Saccharomyces cerevisiae S288C: one gene and its partners. The gene in region 3 interacts genetically with the main gene of each other region. Each region holds a gene or a part of one and is shown on either strand. Other genes may lie near its edges. The genes, in order: LCB1, OPI1, SEC12 and BUD27.

Region 1 (4,156 bases), on a different chromosome or scaffold from region 3:
GTGAGGCCATTTCCGATCAAGACGGAGGTTAAGTTGAAGTTTCTGTCCTTGTGAGACAAAATTTCAGAGGCAAAAACAGGGATGTAATGGCCGGCGTAGGATTCCCCAGCGATGTGGAAATCTTGGCCCTTGTTGACGTATTCAGGGAACTGATCGAAGAACAACTCCAAGAAGTTATAGACATCCTTACCAGCGGCGACAGTGTTGGAAACACCTGAGGACCCGGAATACGAGAACCCAACGTTGACAGGCTGGTCAAGGAAGATCACGGTGGCATTGCTGTTCCAAGAGTAAGGGTTCCCGATGGGTTTCAAATCAGGTCCAATGGATGAGGGTCCTAATTCAAAGAACAGCCCGGTTAGTGAAGAACAACCTGGACCCCCGTTCAACCAAAGGATGACCGGATCCTTTGCAGGATCGTTTCTACTTTCAAAAGTCCAAAAGAAGAAATGCTTGTCCTCGTCTTCCACATCCAAGTAACCCGTGTACTGTGTGACATTTGGGTCAATGCCCAGGATTTTAGGGTCCTTAATCTTGTTGACACGAAGCTGATAGTTTTCAATTGCGTCATTCTTGACCACAAAGTCCCAGTCTTTCTTCGTTTTGATTGCTTCAGGGAATTTTGGCTTAGTGGAAGTTTCAAGGCTCATAACCTGGTTTGGGTACAAATGCTCTATTTGGGCCCAAGCGTCCAATACATTGGAGTCCAACTCCTTCAAGAGATGATCCAGGTCGAGGTCCAAACCAAATTTTTCCGCAGCTTGCAGCAAAACGTCCTTATCTAGACCCAACGGTCTTTGCAATGAGATGGCCTTAGCGAGTGTAGTGGACAGGCCTAGTCCACATAGTAAACTGGTGAATGCTTTCATAGCGTATGTATACTTTAAGTTGAGTAGAAAAGAAACAATCTCTAGTGAGTATTCTTTCTCTCTCTCTCTCTTGTCTTGTTAAGACTAGGAGGGAAGACGAAAAGAATTATTTCGGAGCTTTTTTGCTGGCATTCTTATCTCGTGCTTTTATTAGTGGGCCCCTTCTTTGAGACCCCGCGGGTGATATGGCCCCTGTCTCAATGATGGATAAAGTTGTTGGAAGCAATTACCAAGACAATCACAAACGAAGGTTGCTACCGAAGTGTACTGGATGACCAACATCGCTATGATTAAATAAGACTATACATAATAGACAAGGGTGGCGCGGCTCCATTCCCAGGGAGACACAAACACGAGGTAAGTCTCAAAAAACCGAAGTTTCGCTCTAAAACTGCACGTAAAGGTCGTGGTATTGACTACAACCATTGACTGTTACATTGTGTAGAAGAAAGGTCCTCACATACTGCTCTGTCAATATGGCTTCTTGTGCAGAAGGTCAATATGTACTATTTCCATGAACCCACAAAATAAGGGAAAAAAAACACTGGAAATAACCGCCACACATACCGTATAAAAGTACATCTCTTTATACGAGTTACTTACTAGACCCTAACCAATGCCTTCAAAAAACAGGACAGACCCTAAAAACTACCATAAGAGACCTAACATATGTATCATCATATACGGAAATCGATTTCGCGTATTTTTTTTTTTTTGAGGCGCCATGATTTCTTACACGGTTTCTTTTTTTTTTCCTTCTTTCCTTCTTGCTTCTCTGCTAACAAATTTTTCACTCATTCTTTTTTATAGGGGCATATTGCTGCGGTTAACTGTAGTGAACGAAAGTAAGATTGAGAAAATATAGTACTTAAGAAAAAGAAAAGGAAAAATAAAAAAAATTCTTTTCAACATCATCGAGTAGCACAGTATAAGAGCGCTCTAACCTTCTGCCTGGCCTCCAATATACACATTTTGCTCGTGTAGGGTTATTTATCCTTTTTTCTTCCTTCCCACCCAAAAAAAAAAAGCAATGGCACACATCCCAGAGGTTTTACCCAAATCAATACCGATTCCGGCATTTATTGTTACCACCTCATCGTACCTATGGTACTACTTCAATCTGGTGTTGACTCAAATCCCGGGAGGCCAATTCATCGTTTCGTACATCAAGAAATCGCATCATGACGATCCATACAGGACCACGGTTGAGATAGGGCTTATTTTATACGGGATCATCTATTACTTGTCCAAGCCACAACAGAAAAAGAGTCTTCAAGCACAGAAGCCCAACCTATCGCCCCAGGAGATTGACGCGCTAATTGAGGACTGGGAGCCCGAGCCTCTAGTCGACCCTTCTGCCACCGATGAGCAATCGTGGAGGGTGGCCAAAACACCCGTCACCATGGAAATGCCCATTCAGAACCATATTACTATCACCAGAAACAACCTGCAGGAGAAGTATACCAATGTTTTCAATTTGGCCTCGAACAACTTTTTGCAATTGTCCGCTACGGAGCCCGTGAAAGAAGTGGTCAAGACCACTATCAAGAATTACGGTGTGGGCGCCTGTGGTCCCGCCGGGTTCTACGGTAACCAGGACGTTCATTACACGTTGGAATATGATTTAGCACAGTTCTTTGGCACCCAAGGTTCCGTTCTGTACGGGCAAGACTTTTGTGCCGCACCCTCTGTTCTGCCTGCTTTCACAAAGCGTGGTGATGTTATCGTGGCAGACGACCAGGTGTCATTACCAGTGCAAAATGCTCTGCAACTAAGCAGATCCACAGTCTACTACTTCAACCACAACGATATGAATTCGCTAGAATGTTTATTAAACGAGTTGACCGAACAGGAGAAACTTGAGAAACTGCCCGCCATTCCAAGAAAATTTATCGTCACTGAGGGTATTTTCCACAACTCGGGCGATTTAGCTCCGTTGCCTGAGTTGACTAAGCTGAAGAACAAGTACAAGTTCAGACTATTTGTTGACGAAACCTTCTCCATTGGTGTTCTTGGCGCTACGGGCCGTGGGTTGTCAGAGCACTTCAACATGGATCGCGCAACTGCCATTGACATTACCGTTGGGTCCATGGCCACCGCGTTGGGGTCCACCGGTGGTTTTGTCCTGGGTGACAGTGTTATGTGTTTGCACCAGCGTATTGGTTCCAATGCATATTGTTTTTCTGCCTGTTTGCCGGCTTACACCGTCACATCCGTCTCCAAAGTCTTGAAATTGATGGACTCCAACAACGACGCCGTCCAGACGCTGCAAAAACTATCCAAATCTTTGCATGATTCCTTTGCATCTGACGACTCCTTGCGTTCATACGTAATCGTCACGTCCTCTCCAGTGTCTGCTGTCCTACATCTGCAACTGACTCCCGCATATAGGTCTCGCAAGTTCGGATACACCTGCGAACAGCTATTCGAAACCATGTCAGCTTTGCAAAAGAAGTCCCAGACAAACAAATTCATTGAGCCATACGAAGAGGAGGAAAAATTTCTGCAGTCCATAGTAGATCATGCTCTTATTAACTACAACGTTCTCATCACAAGAAACACTATTGTTTTAAAACAGGAGACGCTACCAATTGTCCCTAGCTTGAAAATCTGCTGTAACGCCGCCATGTCCCCAGAGGAACTCAAAAATGCTTGCGAAAGTGTCAAGCAGTCCATCCTTGCCTGTTGCCAAGAATCTAATAAATAAAAATAGAAAGCCAGTATATGCACACGCACATATATATATAAATATTTATACAATAATACAAATAATCGTAACATCATCTCTGTCAAATTGACGTGGTGCACGGCGCCCAGAGAATGCGCTAAAAATTTTCGGATCCGAAATTTTCTTTCCTTTTACCATCGAGGCAAAGCAACCTGTATTATTTATTTGTTTATTTATTAATAGAAAAGAAAGGAGTACTTTCGTGGTACGCTTTCTTGAGCATTTTCGGTTTCACTAGGCAGAGAACTAACACAAGAGACACAGCAAACATCAAACAAGGTTAAAACAGCACACCAAGGCAATATGATGCATTTTAGAAAGAAATCCAGTATCAGTAACACGAGTGATCATGACGGAGCGAACCGTGCCTCAGATGTCAAGATTTCTGAAGATGACAAGGCAAGATTGAAGATGCGTACTGCTTCCGTTGCTGATCCTATTCTAGACGCTGTGCAGGAAGCCCAACCTTTTGAACAAGCTGCTGATACCTTCCACGACAACATGAACAGACAATCTTATTTTTCCAACGAAGAAGGTCATGTTCTGTGTGATGTTTTCG
Region 2 (3,772 bases), on a different chromosome or scaffold from region 3:
CCCAAAACGATTGGTTCTTTATACATTTGAAGAGAGACTTTCTGCATTTCGTTTCAGTGATACATACCACAGACAAACCAAATATAGACTTAATGACTATACTAGCCTTTTTGGAACAATTTTATCATCTTTTACAAAAATATTTTGAAATCGAGGTCTTAACTAAGAATGTCATACTGGACAACATCTTACTTGTCCTGGAGTTGATTGATGAATGTATAGACTTTGGTATCGTACAAGTGACGGATCCAAGTATCATCAAGGACTACATTCGTGTGAAGGTCAACGTACCAAGAGTTACAGTAGACAATGAGGAGTGGAGCCCTGGTGAAGAGAGCAGTAGTAGTAGCGGTAGCGATAGCGATAGCGAGTACAGCAATACTAATAAGAGGAAGGATAAGAAGAAGAAAAGGAAGAAGAAAAAGGGCACTAAAGGGAAAAGCGTGGGCAAAAGTAAATTAAAAAGTATAATGGTAAACAATAAAGAAAATAGGGGCATAAACGTGGTGGAAACTGTCAAGGAGACACTAAGGAACAAGAATGATACCGGTAAAGAAGCCGCTAATGACGAGCTCCCCAATGACGGTAATGATTTATACATCAATGGCGATATTGCGAAGACGATTATAATGCCCATATCATGGAGAACAAAGGGGATACATTACGCCAAAAACGAGTTCTTTCTTGATGTTATTGAACGTGTTCAGTACTTGATGGATTTTGAAAAAGGAGTGATTAGGAAAAATCTGATACATGGAGAGATTGTGTGCAGATGCTATTTATCAGGGATGCCCAAACTGAAAATATCCATAAACAAGATACTGAACAGGGACCCCCAGTTCATGTCGAATTCCAGCTTTCATCAGTGTGTTTCACTAGATTCCATAAACACTATTGAAAAAGATGAAGAAAAGAATAGTGACGATGATGCTGGTTTGCAGGCCGCCACAGATGCAAGAGAAATCGAATTTATACCGCCGGATGGCGAATTTGTTCTTTGCCAATACGAGTTGAAGAGACATGTAAAGGATGCGCCGATGGTGAGGTTGAAAGATTTTGAAATCAAACCTAAACTGAAGAAGTTTAAAATCCAAATTGTAACCAAAATTCAAACAAATTTTAAACCCACCAACTCAACGTCGAAGCTAAACGTGAGAATTCCCCTGACAAAAGTCTTCCAGGAATATAAAATAGACCTCAGCAAGCAAATTAGATTCAAGGCAAACATCGGCAAGGTCGTGTTTAACTTGAGTGACGATTTTCTCCTCTGGGAGATACAAACCATGAAGGGGCACCGAGAACATAGCACAAACAAGAGCTCACAGTACAACAGCGACGAAGATGATCCAAATACGTGTGCATCCATGGTGGCAGAGTTCCCCCTCTTCAACCAGGAAGAATATGACCGCCTGCAAGAAGAAATGAAAACCTCAATGAATCCGCCGCCCTTGCGCACGGGACCCAGGCTGGAAGAACTATATAGACAAGTGCACGACCAACAAACTTCCCACGTTACTCCTCGAGATAAGTTGGTCAACATTGATTTCGAGATTCCGTACTGTACATGCAGTGGCCTGAAAGTTGAGTACTTGAAGGTCGAAGAGCCACAATTGCAGTACCAGTCTTTCCCCTGGGTCAGATACAAGACCGTCAGCGACGAAGAGTACGCATATATTGTTTGACGCTTACGCAGACATCTCATAGATAGACAAATGGTACGTTCGTTTTAGTATATAGATGGCACCTTATAATCTTCATATGCAACCGGGTAAAATCGGGCGTTCTTATTTTTTTTTTTTCCACCTCAATGAGAGGGATTAATAAGAGGATTGGAGCAAGACAGCGATCTGCACTTAGCCAAGAAAGCATATCAGGCCAGAACGTGGCATTTTGTTTACAGTGCTGATTAAAGCGTGTGTATCAGGACAGTGTTTTTAACGAAGATACTAGTCATTGATGTCTGAAAATCAACGTTTAGGATTATCAGAGGAAGAGGTAGAAGCGGCTGAAGTACTTGGGGTGTTGAAACAATCATGCAGACAGAAGTCGCAGCCTTCAGAGGACGTCTCACAAGCTGACAAAATGCCGGCAAGTGAGTCGTCTACGACGCCGCTAAACATTTTGGATCGCGTAAGTAACAAAATTATCAGTAACGTAGTGACATTCTACGATGAAATAAACACCAACAAGAGGCCACTGAAATCAATAGGGAGGCTGCTAGACGATGACGATGACGAGCATGATGATTACGACTACAACGACGATGAGTTCTTCACCAACAAGAGACAGAAGCTGTCGCGGGCGATTGCCAAGGGGAAGGACAACTTGAAAGAGTACAAGCTGAACATGTCCATCGAGTCTAAGAAGAGGCTTGTAACGTGCTTGCATCTTTTAAAGCTGGCCAATAAGCAGCTTTCCGATAAAATCTCGTGTTTACAGGACCTTGTTGAAAAGGAGCAGGTGCATCCTTTGCACAAGCAAGATGGAAATGCTAGGACGACCACTGGAGCTGGCGAGGACGAGACATCGTCAGACGAAGACGACGACGATGAGGAGTTTTTTGATGCCTCAGAGCAGGTCAACGCCAGCGAGCAGTCTATTGTGGTGAAAATGGAGGTGGTCGGCACAGTCAAGAAAGTCTACTCGCTGATATCGAAGTTCACAGCAAATTCGCTGCCGGAGCCCGCAAGATCTCAGGTTCGGGAAAGTCTTCTAAACTTACCCACAAATTGGTTCGACAGCGTCCACAGTACATCACTGCCGCATCATGCTTCGTTTCATTATGCCAACTGTGAAGAACAAAAAGTGGAGCAACAGCAACAGCAACAGCAACAGCAGCAGCAGCAGCAACTTTTGCAGCAGCAACTCCTGCAACAGCAACAGCAAAAAAGGAACAAGGATGGCGACGACTCAGCCTCGCCGTCCTCCTCCGTAACTGCGAATGGGAAAGTACTCATTCTCGCCAAAGAATCCCTGGAAATGGTGAGAAATGTCATGGGCGTAGTCGACTCCACGTTGGGCAAGGCTGAAGAATGGGTGAAGCAGAAACAGGAGGTAAAAGAAATGATCAGGGAGCGTTTCTTGCAACAGCAGCAACAGTACAGGCAGCAACAGCAGAAGGATGGCAATTACGTAAAGCCCTCTCAGGACAACGTGGATAGCAAGGACTAACCGAGACAGATTGAGGTCTTTCATGCATTACCACCAGTAATAATATTATACGGAATAATATAGTTTATATAATATCCATAATCATAATCATAATCATAATCATAATCATAATCGTGATATTGTACCAGCCCCGCTTCTCCCCTTTTGAACTACCATTATTATCGGACCCTCTTTACCTTTGAATGGCTCAGTAAGGACCTTTGCGCAGCCGTAAGGGGGTCGGGAATACATTTCCGGGGTTGATCCTCGAGGAAAAGTGCTATCTATATAAGGAGAAGCCCTTCTAGATCCAAATATCAGGGGTAACTCTTCACAACTGGCCAGGAACATATTCCAAGTTAAAAAGAAAAAATAATTATTAGAAACCAATTACCAACACAAGATGCTAAGATCAAATTTATGCAGAGGATCTCGAATCCTTGCAAGACTGACCACTACACCAAGGACATACACATCTGCGGCGACAGCTGCGGCTGCGAATCGGGGACATATCATCAAAACATACTTCAATAGAGATTCTACGACAATTACGTTCTCCATGGAGGAGTCCAGCAAGCCGGTTTCCGTTTGCTTTAACAACGTTTTTCTTAGAGATGCCTCC
Region 3 (3,862 bases):
CAGTGAACTGCGAAAACCTGAGGGTGTGATAAGTGGGAGAAAAACCTTTGGCGATAATTCTGATGATAGTGGTTCCAGGAAGAGAAAGTTTGATGAAGGCGAACAAAATGAAGACGAGAAAAGGGATGCTAAGGATAAGGAATTTACAGGGAGCCAAGACGATGGAGAGGATGAATATGACCTAGATAAATTATTTAAGGATAGCATCAAAAAGAAAAAGACCAACCATAATGGTAAAAATAAAAATAGAAATTCAAAAAAGTAGCGCAGACAATGCACCAGCAGAAGTACGTATTCGTATATAATAATGAGAACATAATATAAAGCATTGTGTAGTATTTTTTTCGTATTTGTCATAAACCATAAGGACTGCCGTCCTTTCTATTACGCTCAATTCCAAAACATATACAAAAACATGTAAATACACCACTTCTAATTTATCAGATAAATCTCTATCATCAATATCATTGAGATCGTTTTTGTATCTTTGCGTTTTTTTTCATAGCTTGAGTGTCGTCACTCTCCTTTTCGCTACTTCATTATTGCTACCTCATAACTTTCTCTCAAGCTCAAGCATCATCTATTTCTCGAAAAGTTGCGTTGGTGATCTCAAACTCTGCCCCTCCAGTATTAATAATGTTACTTTCAGTACATAAGACTTCAGTTCCATTCACAGAACTCGTCTCATGCACGCCATGCACTTTTATGGAATCTACGCTAGGTACAGATGTTTTTGTACCGTGGTTGCCAAACAAAGTTGTTTGATGTAAGTCTTCATCAACTACGTAGGGCGAAGAGATGGTGTCTCTTTTCGTTAGAAAATTGTCCTTCGCGTAATTGAAAAGCATGGAATGCAAATTGTGCTTATAGGAGAACTGTAAAATGTAAGAAAGCAGCACAATAAGGATGAAGTTGGTGAAAAATTTAGAGATTTTTTGTTTCATTGAGGTGTAGTTGGCGTAGTTAAGCGGTAATTTTATTATGTGGATAGTGTTGGCTGCCGAAACACTCGCCACATATGTAGAGTCCGGAGAGATAGTGACCTCTGTAATGGCAAAACTATGAGCTTGTTTGAATATTTTAGACATTGACAGGTCTTTTAGTTTCACAAGAGCTATGGAATTGTCATTACTTGCCAGTACCGCCAATTCACCCTTCATGTCGACATCCATAGAAGTAATCCCTTTGAATCTGTTTGTCACTTGTTTGGATCTTAATACGGAAGTGTTTCCTGATTTGATGCTTATTTTGGTCAGCACAATACCTTTCCCTTTTTTTAAAGAGGCTGCTATCAATACTGTGTCATCGGCTATGAAGTTTATTTTAGATAAACTCCAATTCTTATCAAAATCTGTTTTCCTAGCAATGCAACTTCCAGTCACTGTTGAAATCACTTCCAAGCTAGAACCGGTGATATAAGCAACAACCTTACCATCAGTGGAAAAGTGTAAATCCTTTACTTCACCCCTAGTCTCGATCTCAAACTTCTCTGTCAAGTCGCTCGGGTCAATGATTCTCATTATAGCAGGTACTTTAGATGATGCGATAGCTGCAACGGTACCTTCTCGTGAAATATAAACCAGCTTCGTGTAGTCATCCGCATTTGTAGATGCGTCAAAGTCTACACTAGTGAGGAACTCCAATTGATCATTCACTTTATCGTATTTAAATTTTCTCAAGTGCTTATTACCTTTACCTTGGGTAATCTTAGTGCTATTTTCATTGCAGCCAACCAAAATGATACCCTTGGAAGCGTCAATTGCAGTAGGAGAGTCGTCGTTGTCTTCCAATGCAAACTCGCTCAATATATGAAACTGTTCCTTCTCAGTATCTTTGGTAGGATCCACGCGCAAGACCGTCAGCTTGTTTGGTATGCCATTGTTTCCTTCTCCTCCACCGCCTGCCACAAGTAATGTGTCGTTATTCAAAAATTTTGCACCGTACGCAGGATACCCGACGTTATAACTAGCTGTCACGAACTTCATAGTGGCTCGATTGTATCTCAACCTTGTTATATATCTGTATTTCTATCACGTATCCTTCTAGGTTTCTGTACACGTTTTTGAATTTTTTGGATTTTTTTTTTTTCAACTTTTCTTTTTTCCCTCATTCTTACTCTATTGTCATCACCATTCAAGATAAAGATAATAACTAGCTTTGAGAAATTAGACCAGACGCAGTGGAAGGTTGAATACATGCCTGTGTGAGGGTGGTGCCAATGACCAGTACATTACATACGACAAAAAAAGTGCTCTCCATTCAATCACACGTCATACATGGCTACGTGGGAAACAAGGCCGCTACGTTCCCACTTCAATACAGAGGTTGGGATGTGGACGTATTGAACACAGTTCAGTTTTCTAACCACTCGGGGTACGCCCACTTCACAGGCTTCAAATGCAGCACTGAGGAGTTGGTAGACATTGTAGAGAAGGGCTTGATTGGGTCTCTTAGAATCAAGTATGATGCCGTACTTAGTGGCTATTTACCCAATGTTCAAGCCCTGCAAAAGGTAGCAGGAATAGTGGGTCAATTATGTGAGGGGAGTGAAAACGTCAAGTGGATATTAGATCCTGTACTGGGCGATAATGGAAGGCTGTACGTGGATCGAGAATGTGTTGCGGTATACCAAGACATTTTACAAAACTTCAAAATTTTTTTGGCCACACCAAATCAGTTTGAAATGGAACTGTTGGTGGGGATGTCAATTCGTACCTTAGACGACGCTAAGCAGGCATTTAAACTATTTCATAAAAAGTACCCTCGAGTAAGCCGAATAGTTGTCACTAGTCTGGAATTATCTGAATTCCTGAGCAACGACACTTACGTAGTAGCAGGGTTTGATTGCTCGGCCAGTGAAGAGATATTCTTCTATGAAATCCCCAAGATCAACGCAAAATTTAGTGGAAGTGGTGATTTAATCAGCGCCATGCTCACTGACTCGTTACTAGGCGACCGCCGCTGCACACAGCTGTCATTAAGCGCATCCTTGGGCCAAGTGCTGTGGCTCGTCACCAGTATCCTACAAAAAACGTATGATTTAAACATAGCTGAGCGGGGCCCACAAGATTCCACGATAGATATCAAGGATTTAAAGCTGATTCAGTGTAGAGACATCCTAAAGCAAGATCTCATACCCTCCATTGGCAAGCCAAAAACCATTAAAATATGATTCTTACGAAACGGTATGCTCCTTCCTCATTGGGGTGCGGCTGCTGCAGGAACCTGCCTAAATAGGAAAATACATTCCTGATTTGGAAACTGTAGGCACACGACGCGTCCCTTTGGAGAAGATCGATCCTTCTTTGGGTCTTTCAATTTGATTGGAAAAAAAATATTTAAAAAAATAGAAGAAAAATATAGAATATATAGAATATATAGAATCAACTACTGCAGTAGATAAATAAAGAAGACTATTCATATTCAGTATCACAATTGAAAGATTATTACAATTTGTATACATTGGTTCCCAATGAAGAGCTTTTTTCTTTATCTTTATGTGGCATTCATGTTTAGTTGCATAACGGCTCTGCCATTACCTGTGGATAACAAAAGGGCTTCTTCAGACTCCTTAGACCTAAAGAAAAAATACGCACCAGACCCTCCTATTACACATAATGTAAACATCGGAATTGTTTTCACAGATCCTGAAAGTTCGGAAGAAGCCGGCCGTCTCATAACAATAGACTTATACGGGACTATGGTGCCCAAGACAGTAATGACTTTTTGCCAGTATGTTGATAGTGTAAAAGATCGCCTTGCTTCCCGTCACAGTTACTCGCCAGAACGCGATTTTGATAAAATTCTACCGAATGGAGCTATAGAAGGTAGCTCCGTTTCTTCCTCCTCTATTGAAGAAACG
Region 4 (4,751 bases), on a different chromosome or scaffold from region 3:
ATTCCACCAGGTGGAAGGTGTTCTTGCCGACTACAACATTACTCTGGGTGACCTGATCAAGTTCATGGAAGAGTTTTTCGAAAGAATGGGTGTCACCGGTTTGAGATTCAAGCCTACCTACAATCCTTACACCGAGCCATCAATGGAAATCTTTTCTTGGCACGAAGGTTTGCAAAAATGGGTCGAAATCGGTAACTCTGGTATGTTCAGACCAGAAATGCTCGAGTCCATGGGTCTACCAAAGGATCTAAGAGTCCTTGGTTGGGGGTTATCCTTGGAAAGACCTACCATGATCAAATATAAGGTTCAAAACATCAGAGAACTGTTAGGTCATAAAGTCTCTTTGGACTTTATCGAAACCAATCCTGCTGCTAGATTGGACGAAGACTTGTACGAATAAGCTCAGCAGTTCCTCTAGTTTTATATCGTCTGTCCCCAATTTTGTAGTAGTTATTGTACACAAAACAAATATATACGTATATGTTAATATAGATTCTGATTTACTTTCTGTCTCCATATGGGTTATGGTTTACTGTCCATATGGAGCCGTTGAGAGCGGAAACGACTTGTCTTGACCGGGTTCCCGAACTTATCAATAGGCTCCAATTCGCCTTCAGTGTGTGCGGCGGGTGATGATGATTGCCATTTCGACGCGGTAGCTTCTTTCAACCGTCTGTACTCTATAGCAACCTCTTCCTGTAGCCGGCCCGGATGTAGTGCTACTTCGTCCTCGTCATTTGTGTAACTTTCAGGAAATTCATGCTCAATGATATCATTCATAACATTGCCATCATTTTCCTCCTCCTCCATCGTCACTGGCTTGTTTTCTAGTTGAAAGTCTCGAATTTCGTCACGCAGCAACTCCACCTGCTTATTGTATTCTTTGAAATCCTCGAGCTTTTCCACTATGGTTCCTGGATCTTCCTCTAAATCGTCGTCATATAACCCCAATGAATATGCCTTGACCATATCATCCAAGTTTCCACCTAGGGCGTGATAATCGACATTTGTAATTCTAACCGGCTCACTCCCTACTGTGGCGCCCGTCTTAGCCATCGACCTAGACACCTCTTGGATTTTTGAAGGAAATTTATCTTGCTCATCAGTGTTATTTTTACTTTTGTTGGACAAAAGTTTCTTATTACCATCGTCATCATCATCATAATCGTCATCACTTATATTTTCGAGAATTTTGGGATCAAATTTTTTTTTCATTGATTTCGATGATCTTGGTTTTTGCAGTGATTTTAGCTTTTTCTTTTTAAAAGGAGTCTCAAACTCGCTCTTGCTGTTAATTTCCGGTTCTTTTTCCACTATATCGTTGATAGTAGGTTCTTTTTCTATAATATCCCCCACAACAGGCTTCCTTTCCACTATATCGTTGACAGCAGGCTCCCTTTCCACTATATCGGTGACAGCAGGCTCTTTTTCTATAACATCCCCCACAACAGGTTCTTTTTCTATAACATCCCCCACAACAGGTTCTTTTTCTATAATATCCCCCACAACAGGCTCTTTTTCCACTACCTCGTTCTCCACTGACCTTGTCGTTTCCTGTTTGAAAGTTGATAACGTATTTTCTTTTTTAGAAGCTCTATCCTTCCGGAATCTGGACACCCTAGTTCTTCTATTCGACCTGCTTGCTTCCCCTTCAAGTCTCTCTTGATTTATCAGTTCCTCTTTATATTTTTCATGCACTTCATCGGCCTCTTGGACACCCAACATCTTAGCAAATAAATCACCATCAAACTCATCCGATGTCATTTTATTAGCGATACCTGTGCTTTCCTGGGTTTCATACATGGGCACCGCAAAGGATTGCATCTGCCTCTTGTTCTCTTCTTTCAAGTTTTCGACTTCGTGAATTTCTAGAGAAGATGCAAACCCGACTTGTTTCTTTTTCTGCTTTTTGTCTGAATTCTCAGCAAAAGAAGACTTTTTCAAAATAGGTTTTAATGATTTATTAACGTCACCTTCTTCCCTCTCATGATCTTGGGATTGCTTTTGTGCGCGTAGGCGTTGAATTTGTTGTAAAAATGAGGACTGCGCTTCAAAGCCAGGTATAATAGAATGATTTAGATACTCTTCTTCATCTTCGTCCTCGTCATCCTCTTCATAGTTATCATTGACTTTGAAATTGGAGTTTTCGAACGCATCATAATCATAATTTATTTCATCAGTTTCAATATAGCCGTCCTCCAATTCATCTTGTTGGTCCATCTGTTGGACCAAGTCGGCAAATGTATACACGTTTTCTGTATCTACTTTAGATGGCTGCACTTTTTTCTTTACTTCATCGTTCCTTTTCAATAACTTTCCTTTCAAGTTTTCTTCGAATGACTTTGATTTCTTCTCCTTTGCTAATCCTTTCTCCTTTGGACCGACTGCAGGTGTCTGTTCTTTTTTGGAATTCGATTGTGATGGTTGCTTTGTTGTAGGGGTAACGGAACTACTTATGACATTTCCCTCGTCATCTAGTTCTTCTCTAATCTCCATAGAGGGCAGAAAATCTTCGTCGTTGTTCGCTTCGTCTTCTTCAATTCCATTTCCGTCCTCCATGTGATTCAAGTTGTCTAAGGTCTTTTTAGCCTCTTCGATCTTCAGGTTAAATTGCTCAATGGCGTCCTCCATTAGTTTTAATTTATCATCAACAAACGTGATGGCCTCCTCTTTGGTCTTTTCAACGTAATACTCATAGCCTAGACTTAGATATATCTTACTCGTAGAAATTATGATATCACCAAACACCATCCCTTGGCCTTCGCCTTCTTCTTCGCCATCATCATTGTCATTGATAAATCTAACCAGTCGGCTTCTGATATCTATATAGTGCTCTCTTTGTTCCGAAAGAAAGTTTCTCTTATCTTGCAGATTTTTCAACGTACTTTCTACGCTGGCCGCTAACAAATCCATGGCTATTACAGTCTGAGGATACCTGTTTACTATAAAATTCTACAGAATATTCATACAACACTCTCTGTTAAAACCTTTAAGAGCAGCTCATCGCCTATCCTCCAAGGATAAATTTCAAAACACCCAAACATTAGGGTTACCCGTATATCGCTACTTCTTCCCATACTCGCTCACCATAGTTAGCACCCCATACCGCAGGAGTAAGCGAGAAACAAAGGGATAGAGGAAAAAAATTTTCTCCGTCGGCCGCGGGTGGCAAAAGCACGATCCGACCACAAAATTGTACTATTACATATCACATGGTATAGCATACAAGCAATACCTGTGAGAGGTTACTACACAAAAGCAAAAAAGTTTGCAAAAATCAGCCAAAACTGTGCTCGTATTCTGGTGGTCATTAGACACTCGCAATATTATTACACCACATCGCGTTCCTCTGAGCTGCTATAATAAAATAAACGCTATCTATTTTTGACTCCTCTTTTTGCCACCCTCGCCTTCCTTTTGTCCATATTCTCACATTGTACGGCAACTGCGGACTTCAGGTCAACATAAATAAAAATTGCACACGATAGGGTAACATTATAGTCACGTGCTTATAAAAACATTGTAATAACATTAGCAAATAACGATAATAACGATGCCGACACCTTCAAACGCTATAGAGATCAATGACGGTTCGCATAAATCTGGTAGAAGCACTAGGCGGTCTGGATCTAGGAGTGCGCACGATGACGGTCTAGATTCATTCTCAAAAGGCGATTCAGGTGCTGGAGCCAGTGCTGGTAGCAGTAATAGTCGATTTAGACATCGAAAAATATCTGTGAAGCAACATCTTAAGATATATCTGCCTAACGATCTGAAACACCTGGATAAAGATGAATTGCAACAGAGAGAGGTGGTTGAGATCGAAACTGGTGTAGAAAAAAATGAAGAAAAGGAGGTCCATTTGCATCGAATATTACAAATGGGTTCTGGTCATACAAAGCACAAAGACTATATTCCGACCCCGGATGCTTCTATGACTTGGAATGAATATGATAAGTTTTATACGGGCAGTTTCCAGGAGACCACCAGCTACATCAAATTTTCTGCCACTGTGGAGGATTGCTGTGGTACCAACTACAATATGGATGAAAGAGATGAGACCTTTTTAAATGAACAAGTCAACAAAGGTTCATCAGACATTTTAACTGAAGACGAATTTGAAATACTTTGTTCCAGTTTTGAACATGCTATTCACGAGCGTCAACCATTCTTGAGTATGGATCCGGAAAGTATACTTTCTTTTGAAGAATTGAAGCCCACATTAATAAAATCAGATATGGCTGATTTCAATCTAAGAAACCAGCTGAATCATGAAATAAATTCTCATAAAACACATTTTATCACACAATTCGACCCCGTATCTCAAATGAATACGAGACCTTTAATTCAGCTGATAGAGAAGTTCGGCTCTAAAATTTATGATTATTGGAGAGAAAGAAAAATTGAAGTTAACGGGTACGAAATTTTTCCGCAGCTGAAATTTGAAAGGCCGGGTGAAAAAGAAGAGATTGATCCCTACGTCTGTTTCAGAAGAAGAGAAGTGAGACATCCGCGGAAAACAAGACGTATAGATATCTTAAACAGTCAGCGTTTAAGGGCGTTGCATCAAGAATTGAAAAACGCGAAGGACTTGGCCCTGCTTGTTGCTAAACGTGAGAACGTTTCCCTAAATTGGATTAATGATGAATTAAAAATATTCGATCAAAGGGTAAAAATTAAGAATTTGAAAAGATCTTTGAACATTAGTGGAGAAGACGATGACTTGATTAACCACAAGAGAAAACGCCCCA

The links.
Region 1: mutations in SEC12 (region 3) and LCB1 together harm fitness more than expected from each alone (negative genetic interaction), as found in Saccharomyces cerevisiae (2 studies listed by BioGRID).
Region 2: mutations in SEC12 (region 3) and OPI1 together harm fitness more than expected from each alone (negative genetic interaction), as found in Saccharomyces cerevisiae (2 studies listed by BioGRID).
Region 4: mutations in SEC12 (region 3) and BUD27 together harm fitness more than expected from each alone (negative genetic interaction), as found in Saccharomyces cerevisiae (2 studies listed by BioGRID).

Annotation. Positions count from the first base shown.
Region 1 is NC_001145.3:858,635-862,790, reverse strand, and holds LCB1 (serine C-palmitoyltransferase LCB1), read left to right. Parts: upstream 1-1,899; coding exon 1,900-3,576; downstream 3,577-4,156. Other genes in the region: carboxypeptidase C PRC1, read right to left, coding at 1-869; GSR1 (Gsr1p), read left to right, coding at 3,901-4,156. UniProt on the Saccharomyces cerevisiae protein: Component of serine palmitoyltransferase (SPT), which catalyzes the committed step in the synthesis of sphingolipids, the condensation of serine with palmitoyl CoA to form the long chain base 3-ketosphinganine.
Region 2 is NC_001140.6:65,641-69,412, reverse strand, and holds OPI1 (transcriptional regulator OPI1), read left to right. Parts: upstream 1-1,956; coding exon 1,957-3,171; downstream 3,172-3,772. Other genes in the region: APM2 (Apm2p), read left to right, coding at 1-1,682; AIM17 (Aim17p), read left to right, coding at 3,554-3,772. UniProt on the Saccharomyces cerevisiae protein: Negative regulator of the transcriptional complex INO2-INO4 in response to phospholipid precursor availability.
Region 3 is NC_001146.8:672,705-676,566, forward strand, and holds SEC12 (Sar family guanine nucleotide exchange factor SEC12), read right to left. Parts: upstream 1,986-3,862; coding exon 570-1,985; downstream 1-569. Other genes in the region: MPP6 (Mpp6p), read left to right, coding at 1-265; putative pyridoxal kinase BUD17, read left to right, coding at 2,219-3,172; peptidylprolyl isomerase family protein CPR8, read left to right, coding at 3,473-3,862.
Region 4 is NC_001138.5:89,148-93,898, reverse strand, and holds BUD27 (prefoldin-like protein), read right to left. Parts: upstream 2,914-4,751; coding exon 523-2,913; downstream 1-522. Other genes in the region: FRS2 (phenylalanine--tRNA ligase subunit alpha), read left to right, coding at 1-400; EPL1 (Epl1p), read left to right, coding at 3,554-4,751. UniProt on the Saccharomyces cerevisiae protein: Involved in gene expression controlled by TOR kinase and nutrient signaling. May also be involved in positioning the proximal bud pole signal.